Linked DNA regions of Tribolium castaneum. The protein of the gene in region 2 interacts with the protein of the main gene of each other region in a pairwise test. Links are inferred from orthologs where the notes say so. Each region holds a gene or a part of one and is shown on either strand. Other genes may lie near its edges.

Region 1 (4,138 bases), on a different chromosome or scaffold from region 2:
CAAAGTAAACTACCTACATACTATTATAATCTAATCTTTTTAAAAACATTTCGTACAATAAATAAGATAAAGAAAGGGTGCCGAAGACGAATGGGCTAAAATTCCGGGTTGGTGAAGTTTCTGGGTTAAACGGAATCATCTGTGTAAACAAAGTCGACAATTTAATCAAAAGTTGAGCAAACTTGATTATGATTGTTATTGACGTGGGAGTCATAAATGGGGTTTTGGGTCACAGAAGACTTACCACGAGATGGTCCCTTGAGGCTTCGATTCAAAATGTGACTTATAACAATATAATAAAATGAGCAATGTATACACACTAAACACTAACGAAACTCCTTATCTTATTTATTGACTTTGCCAAACGCCAGCAAACATCACAAGGGACGGTCGTAAAAATCCAACAAATAACAATTAAAAAATTAAACACCTTCAACCACTTCCTATTCTAAAATAATATCGGACATGAAACAGTACGAACTCACTCCCCACTAAAAATAAAAACAACACGCACAAAAACATGTAAAAATACTCGACTTAAGTAGTGCTAGCGCCGCCTGTTGGCTTAGTTCAGGCGCATTGCTAGTTGCATACCGTAACCTTAGGCCCACTCCAATGTCAAGTCTACCTAAATTTAAACCCAGCGTCAATTTGAACATTTATTATATACAGTTACAATAATACTGGACACATTACGACTTGGCTAAAATCTGCGCTCTCAGCTCGATGCACATCTCCTGCTCCTCGATGATCTGGCGGACCAAGTTGATCTTCTTGATTTGCAAAATTTGGTTCTCCTTGAGGAACAGGTCCATGACTTCGTCCAGGTCCTCGTTGGGCACCATCGCCACGGGCGGCACCTCCCCCGTGATCTGCGAGCGCAGCACGGCGATCTGGCCGCGCTCCGCCTGGATGTCCTTCAGGAGCGAGTCTCTGAGCAGCAGCAGCCCCTCGTTCTTGAACTTCAGCAGCGCGACGCTGCCGTCCAGCTCCGACTCCTCCTCGCTGGCCGCCTCCTCGGGCTGCGCCTCGGGCTCGGGGGCTTCCACCTTCTCGACCGCTTCCTTGTCGCGGTTCGCCGTTTTCAGCTTGCGCTTCAGCTGCGTGATGATCCTCTGCACCTCCCAGAGGAGCTCCTCGCGCTGCTTCGAGATGCAGCAGACGTTCATCTCCTTGTGGATCTGGGTGAGGAGCGACTCCTGCTTCTTGAGCTCCGTCTCGATCTCGGGGGGCTCCTCGGGGAGCTTGGCCCCGGACTCGAGAGGGGGCACGTAGCGCGCGATTGTGATTGTGGGGAAGAGCGCGAGGCAGTGGTGGAGCAGGGCGTGGAGGAGGCGCGAGGAGCAGTGGAAGGTGTGGTTGAGGGCTGTGGAAATGGCTTGTTTGTTCATTTTGTTGCATTTTTCCTGCGAAACGCGCTATACTATGGGGGCTGGGGTGTTAAGGCACTCACATTCAGAGAAACGTTGTGTAAATGGGTGATGAGCCAGCCGAGGAGCGTTTTGTTGTGGGGAGGTAAAAGGTCCACTAAAATTTTTAAGTGTTTTTCGCGAGTGTTGAGATTAAGGATGGCTCCGGCTTCCTCGAAACGTATTAAAAGGTCGTTTGTAAAAAGTGGTTCTGGTAAATCTCTGCAAAGAGTTTTTGCCCATCATGTTACACCTAAGAAAAGGTTACCTTAAATAGGTTTTTACTAAACTTGTGACGGTTGGAGGGTCGTAGTCATTTAAATTGATATTGCCCCTCTGATTGTACATTTTACGTATTTGGAGAACTTTTGATTTTGTTCCGCTGATTTTGTATATGCCTTCGAACGACATACCTACGGTTTCTACATAGTCTATACATTCCCGAATGGGTAAAGGAATGTCTACACCGTCATGGCACCGGCTCCTCTCAACAGCCACGTCTAAACTAGCCCCGAAAATCGGTAAAATATCTGGAACGAACAATTCATTCCAATTTTATTGTCATTATGTAAGAGTTCTCACCGCCGATGTCAGCGGTCTCGTCAATTGACTGTTTGAGTTTCTTCGTTTTCTCACTCTTGACTTTCTCCTTGTCCTGCTTCTTGTCATTCTTCTTATCCCGGTCTTTCTTCTTGTCGAGATCTTTCTCTTTTTCGCGGGATTTGTCCCGTTTTTCTTTGGCTTTGGTGGAGAATTTGAACGGTTTGGCTTTTTTTGTTTTCGACGGGCTTCTGAAACATCCCAGTGAGGGTTTGAGTGATTGCAGGTGTGATTACCTCGACTTGAAATTTTCATCAGCTGAACTTTCGCCTTCTAAAGCGGCATAACCTTTGTCTTTATCCTTCTTCTCTTTGCGTTTTCCGATGAGAATGTCCTTTTTCAAGACTTTCTCATTTTCGTCACTATCTAGAAACGAGTTTTAATCGGGAATTAGTGGTTCACTTAATTTATTATTACAGTCGCTGTCGTTATTGCACTGCTTATTTAATTCGGATGCGTACAAGCCTGGGAAATCCTTCATTACGTCGGGGCTATCAAAATCCATATTGACACGGTTGGGTTTGAACTTTTAATAAATAATTATGACACTATTTTCCCAAGGGAATTTGTTGCTAAGCATGTTAAGCTGGGATAAAACAGAAACAACACAAATCAAGTCATCTGAGTGGTGTAATATGACAGGTGCTTGCCCTGCCATCTCTTGAAGGAACTGGTGTTGAGGGCCGCCTTAACCGGGAGATTCGAAATAAAAGACGAGCTAGTTTTGTAATTTTTTTTAATTTTTTTTACGTGTTACAGGAAGACAAATCTTTGACCACACTTCCACAACACACTTTACAAACTAACTTAACTATGTAATAAATTGCAAGGAGTTGAGCAAAAAAAACGTTTAATTATCACAAGATTTATGTGTTTTTTCGTCTCGCCTGCAATCAATTGTCGATTGCACGTGGTTGGTTGCAGGCGAGACGGAAAAGCAGATTTTCAACTATCTTAAAATGATGAATTAGTACTCTAAATACAATATTACGAAAACACATACAAAAGAACTCCTTGCCTGTCCTATGATTTACATTTTCATAAACATACCAAAGGGAAGGTCATTATAAAAATATATCAAGAGTAGTTGACACCTAAAACTGTTAACAATATAAAACAAATGGGATTTAGTCGTATTAATAAAAACAGAGTTTCAAGTAACAACACCTTTGTCTAGTCTTGCCCCTAAACCAGTTGTCAAGGGGTCCTAACACAACTTATAAATATCCTCAAGCTAGATCAAACGAGAGGAGTGAAAGAAAATCCGGCAACGTAACAAAGTAAAAAGTAGTCCCTACTACGGGAGAAGTGAATGAAAATCCGGCAACGTAACAAAGTAAAAAGTAGTCCCTACTACGGGCGGAGTGAAAGAAAATCCGGCAACGTAACAAAGTAAAAAGTAGTCCCTACTACGGGAGGAGTGAAAGAAAATCCGGCAATGTAACAACGTAAAGAGTAGTCCCTACTTTAGATCGAGGCTACGCGCAAAAAAAAAACAATAATATAATAACAAAAGAAACGGTGGTTGTGTCATTAAATGGTATTAGAACAACGAGTTGGCGAGTGGCGTTTATCTATAGTCTTGAAACAACATTACAACTAAATTTTTTTGGGGAAATGCATACCTTAAGTAAATAAGTAAAATTTACCATCGTATGATTGCCATTTTCAATGAAAAGTGCAAACATTCTTAGCTCAACTAAACGTACATTGATTGTATTGTTTTCTAATGAACCAACCTTAAGAAATCTCAGCTAAGCAGTTATACGTGTAGCCCAGCTACATAATGCTTAATATATTGGTACACACTAAAGCGAAAACGAAACAGCCTATTTTTTAGATTTTATATATGAAAGTATTGTGGAGTGAGCCCATATGTATGTACAAAGTATAGCGCAGTCATTACAATACAACTGATTAATGTAACCATCAAACTCACACAAAACTTTATGACTAAATCATTCACGTTATATAATAATAGAACCGATACGGTCTCCACTGACATTTAAAAAATATTGCGTTGCATAGCTTCATCTTGTAATTACTAGAAAAATATGAAACTGTCAGTTATTTTAAGGCAATGGCACTTGCGCAAATCTACTTACACTTTTATACATCAGTTATTCATT
Region 2 (4,615 bases):
CTAATAGTATTGAAACTTATTTGTTTTTTTATTTAAAACAGTAAATCATTCATTATCATTAAAATTAAAATATCAAGCTTTATTGTGCTAAATGCATTCTTTTGAAAAAGTTTGTTTTATAAAAAAGTTTTATAAAGTTTAACTCGGTGAATCAGTTATTTCTTAAAAGCAATTTGAAAAAAAAAGTTTCCTTCGAGCCGGATTTGAACCAGCGACCTATGGATGTCCACTTTTAAGATCCTCTACAGTCCACCGCTCTACCAACTGAGCTATCGAAGGTTGATTTTACAGATGACTGTTGTTCTTCTACTAGTTGAAATATTGTTAAAACATTTGATTATTTGATTTTAAATTATCTTTTAATAAATAAAACTATATGAGTAAGCTAATATAATACGGCAGTCACAGGCATTAAATAGTATTACAACAGCAAAAACTTATCTTATCTGTTGCATTCACAAGCAATCAATAAAATTAATAAAATAATATTGTAAAAACATATTTTCGACCATTTGGTTTTATCGGATATAAATACTATTTCGGGAAAAATTAGTAAATATTGTAAAAATACACGACTAGAAAAAAGAAAAAAATTTGGCCGCCCGAGCAGGGACTTGAACCCTGGACCCTTGGATTAAAAGTCCAATGCTCTACCGACTGAGCTACCCGGGCTTGTACTTAACAAGCCCCCTCAGTCCTAGTCCTCCAAAATCTTTCCGCAACAACCACAAGTTATTAAAATTTTGAATTCAACAATAATTACCGAAAAGTGTTGAGTTTTTCCATAGCTTTACCCACCACCGTCTTCTTCAGCGGCGTCGGACTCGTCCCCGGCGTGCTATTAGCCGAATTGAGTTTTTCATCGGCCACAAGGGCCCTAGCCAGTTGCATGTCGCTCTCGTTCATATTTCTTACCGACACGACAAAATCACAAAACCAATTACCACTTACAGCACACCTAACATTTGTTAAGATCAAGGTAAATGAAAAATCATAATCGCAAGTACGGCCCTGACCTAAATGATAAATAAGCGCGCTTTTGTCTCGGTTAGGGTCAGGTTTCCTCTTAGGGTCACTTATTTTTGTTGTTCTGAAACCGTCCGCGAAGAACTTTCGACAAGAACTGACAGAACTTGCCTTTAACGAGTCGACTCTGGCATTTTTTCTTTTAAATTAAATCGACGACGGCAAATAAATTAATATAAAAATCTAGTCCATGCACCGCTCCGAGCGGTCGGGTTATGAAATTGACGGTGAAAAACGACTATTATTATCTCAGCGAGGTGTTTTCCTGCTGTAGGCCCGCGGGGACTGCAAAAAAAATATGCGCCCAAACAATTTTATTATAATGCAATTAAATTAAAAGAAAAATTGTGACAAAAAAACATAACACAGATGAATAAGAATTTCCACATAAGACCAAACATTATTATAAATAGTTTAGATTTTTGAACATTTGTTTTTGAAAATTCATAAATGTTAGGTCACTTTGGTCGCTAGTGTCGCTACTTTCTGGCACAGTTGGTACCGAGAACACAGGCAAAAATTTCCGAAATTGGAGCCATTTATTTAAGCAGTACATTTTTTACATAAATTTGTTATACACTGATGGTTGTAATCTGGTCTATTGTGTCTCTTATCTCTTCCTCATTATCTAAATACTTTTTTGGTGAATTATTTATGTTGGAGACATTCCCGAGTGATAAGGCGAAGGTTGGTCTACCTGCCTGGCTCCATCAGCTGTCAAAAATGGAGGAGTTACAGCTGTCAGAAACTTTACAACGATATTTTTCCGACGTTTTTCTTTGTTGTGACGAGGAAAAATCCGGGAGCGCCTCCTTGACCAAAACCGTCGAATTAATCAAGTCGGGCAACGTGCCCGAAGACATCATATCCCAAGTGAGTGGTTTTCTCACTCTCTAACCTCACATTCTGACATTTCTCCTGTCAGATTTCAGAGATCTGTTGGGGCCAAACCACGACCAGTTTGTCTAGGAAGCAATTTTTTTCCGCTTTGAAATTAGTCGCCGCCTATCAGGCCAACATGCCGTTAAATGCCGACGTAGTCACTTCCAATTTGGAGTTGCCTTTGCCCAGGTTTACTTGGAATAATTTGGAGAGTGATTCACAAGTTCCTGATTTAATCGAACTGAGAAACGATGCCAATTATGTTGAACAAGTCGATGCGAACAGCACCGACTCGGAAGTCGATAGTGATACGCTTAGTATAGTTAGGAATGGGTCGCCCGAAATTTCCAGCACCGCCTCTGATAGCCCCACGCCCACGAATAGTGTGCAGGACAGGAGCTGGGCCATCGGGGGGGCCTGGCAGGGGCTGGTCTCCGAAGAACAAAGACAGCTCTTGGGTGAGTCGTGGAATGAAATAATGAAGCATTGTTTCGTTAAAACAATAAATCAACGGATTTTTGTTTAGTAAACAGGCAGGTGTCGCCGAATTGACTAGCTATTGAGTTATTAATGCGTCGTGTGACGGCATTTGCATTCATCAATTCATTTTGAAATTGTTGACATTACGTTCACTTTTCCAAAAATGGTGGCTCTTAATAAATTTTGTTTAATTAATGTAGTGACGCTTGCGACATATTTCAACGCGTGGTACACATTATTTTTGGTCAATAAACAAACAATTCGGAAACATAATTAAAGAATTAACGACTCGGAAAGTCGTAAATTTGATTGCTTTTGAGTATGTTCTACATCCAGTGATACAAGTTGTTGTTTTATCAATTTTCATTTAATTCATTACGCAGATAATTGTGAGTTTTTTTCTACAAAGGTCTTACACTATTAGCAATATTTTTTTTATTTCCCTTGTTTAGGGACGGAGGAGGAGTCGAGCGATCGGCACAGCAGCGAGGAGGACACGGAAGTGAGCCCCGAGATCTGGACGATCAACCCCGAACAGCGCGACTACTACACGAAACAATTCCGCTCCCTCCAGCCCGACACCAACGCCTTACTCGCCGGTCCCGTCGCCCGCATGTTTTTCGAAAAATCGCGCCTTCCAGTCCACGAGCTCCGCAAAATCTGGCAGCTGGCCGACGTGACCAAAGACGGCGCCCTCAGCCTCCAGGAGTTCAACACTGCGATGCATCTAGTCGTCTTGCGCCGCAACCACATCGAACTCCCCGACGTCCTGCCGCCCACCCTCATCCCCGGCAACGAAACGCCCCTGTCCGTGAGCCCCGAGACCGAGCCCATGCTCTCCCCCCAAACGAAAGACACCGCCAAAGAGTGGACGAAATTCGTCGACAGCCCCACCAGCTCCGTTAGTTCCCCCGGCCCCAAACCCGTCAACTTCGATTTCCAGAAAATCACACTCGATAAAGACTCGAAAATCTTACACCCAGTCCCGCTTCGAATCACGCCAGAGTGCCCCATGGCGCCCCCGGGCGAAGACTCCGTCGACAATGCGGAAGCGCACAGTCCGAAGAAATTCACCGATAATAGCGCCATCCAGCGGCCGCAGCCGAAAAAAATCAGCATACCGGGCCCTGGGGCGATCCCTCCGCCCCCCACCACGCAAACGGGGGATGAAGGGCCGGTCAGTCTCCCGGTTTTTCCCCCGCCTAAGAAGGAAAAACCGCCCCCGCCTCCGCCCAGACCGTTCAAAAGCCACGGTCGGAGCTCGTCGCTTGATTTGAACCGGTTGAGCAAGTTGGGAGCCCCGCCCACGATCCCGCCCAGAGTCAGTCCCAATATCCAATCGAAGAAGCTGACCAATCAGAAGTCGGAAGGGGACGCCTTTGCCAACTTTGATAGTTTCGAGAAGTATGAAAATGTGGACGAGGGGATTTTTCCGGGTGATTTGTATGAAGCGGAGAGAAAGAAGATTTTTGCGAGGTTTACTGAATTGCCAAGAAAACACGGGGCGTTTGAGGTTTATCGAAAACCGGCCAAGAATCAAGAAGGCGGGCAAGACGAGAAAGCCAAGTGGGAGTTGTTTCAAATGTTGCAGGAGGAGAATACGGTGCTGTTGAGGATTTGTCAAGAGTTGAGTCAAGAACTGGCCGATATTCGGGAAGAGAAAATGACGCTAAAGTTGAGATTAGAAAAACAATTAAGTCTGGGATAGTTGAGATGAATCAAATGCTATTTAAGTTGAATCTCCAGGTATTATTAAGGCCGACAGTGCCATAAACTGCCTAAATTGTTCAATTATGTTTATCATTGAGTGAAAGAATATTTTTTTAATGACGTTATCAAATCATATTTGAAAGAATCTATATGTTGGTCAGATTTAGGTTGTTTATATTATATATGGCTCTATTGCAGCAAAGTCTTATATTTTTTCGTGTAGCTATAGGAAGACTGTATTTTAAGATTAAATAAATACTTTAAAATTATTAGGTTTTAAGGAAAATCGCATTTTCTGCATTACACTTTATTTCCGAATGATAAAAAATAACCTAATCCCTTAATACCACGGTTTCCTTGGTCTCTGAAGCAAGTTTCTTTCTTTTGCAAAAAATACACAAGACGCCATTTTAAAAAAGTTGACAGTTACCATTATTACATAATATGTCATCGCACAGGGAAATTAATAATTTTATCCAACAGACTGTCGATTCCTTTAAGTAAATATGTGATTTGT

What was found.
Region 1: the proteins of Reps (region 2) and Rlip interact in binary tests that used the Homo sapiens proteins (3 or more experiments, as listed by UniProt). The link is inferred for Tribolium castaneum from reciprocal best matches to the Homo sapiens genes REPS1 and RALBP1.

Annotation. Positions count from the first base shown.
Region 1 is NC_087403.1:3,536,144-3,540,281, forward strand, and holds Rlip (ralA-binding protein 1), read right to left. Parts: upstream 2,657-4,138; 5' UTR 2,515-2,656; coding exon 2,427-2,514; intron 2,376-2,426; coding exon 2,246-2,375; intron 2,201-2,245; coding exon 1,992-2,200; intron 1,940-1,991; coding exon 1,678-1,939; intron 1,632-1,677; coding exon 1,454-1,631; intron 1,407-1,453; coding exon 693-1,406; 3' UTR 647-692; downstream 1-646. UniProt on the Homo sapiens protein: Multifunctional protein that functions as a downstream effector of RALA and RALB. As a GTPase-activating protein/GAP can inactivate CDC42 and RAC1 by stimulating their GTPase activity.
Region 2 is NC_087399.1:2,782,394-2,787,008, forward strand, and holds Reps (ralBP1-associated Eps domain-containing protein 1), read left to right. Parts: upstream 1-1,696; 5' UTR 1,697-1,749; coding exon 1,750-1,899; intron 1,900-1,951; coding exon 1,952-2,366; intron 2,367-2,840; coding exon 2,841-4,096; 3' UTR 4,097-4,367; downstream 4,368-4,615. UniProt on the Homo sapiens protein: May coordinate the cellular actions of activated EGF receptors and Ral-GTPases.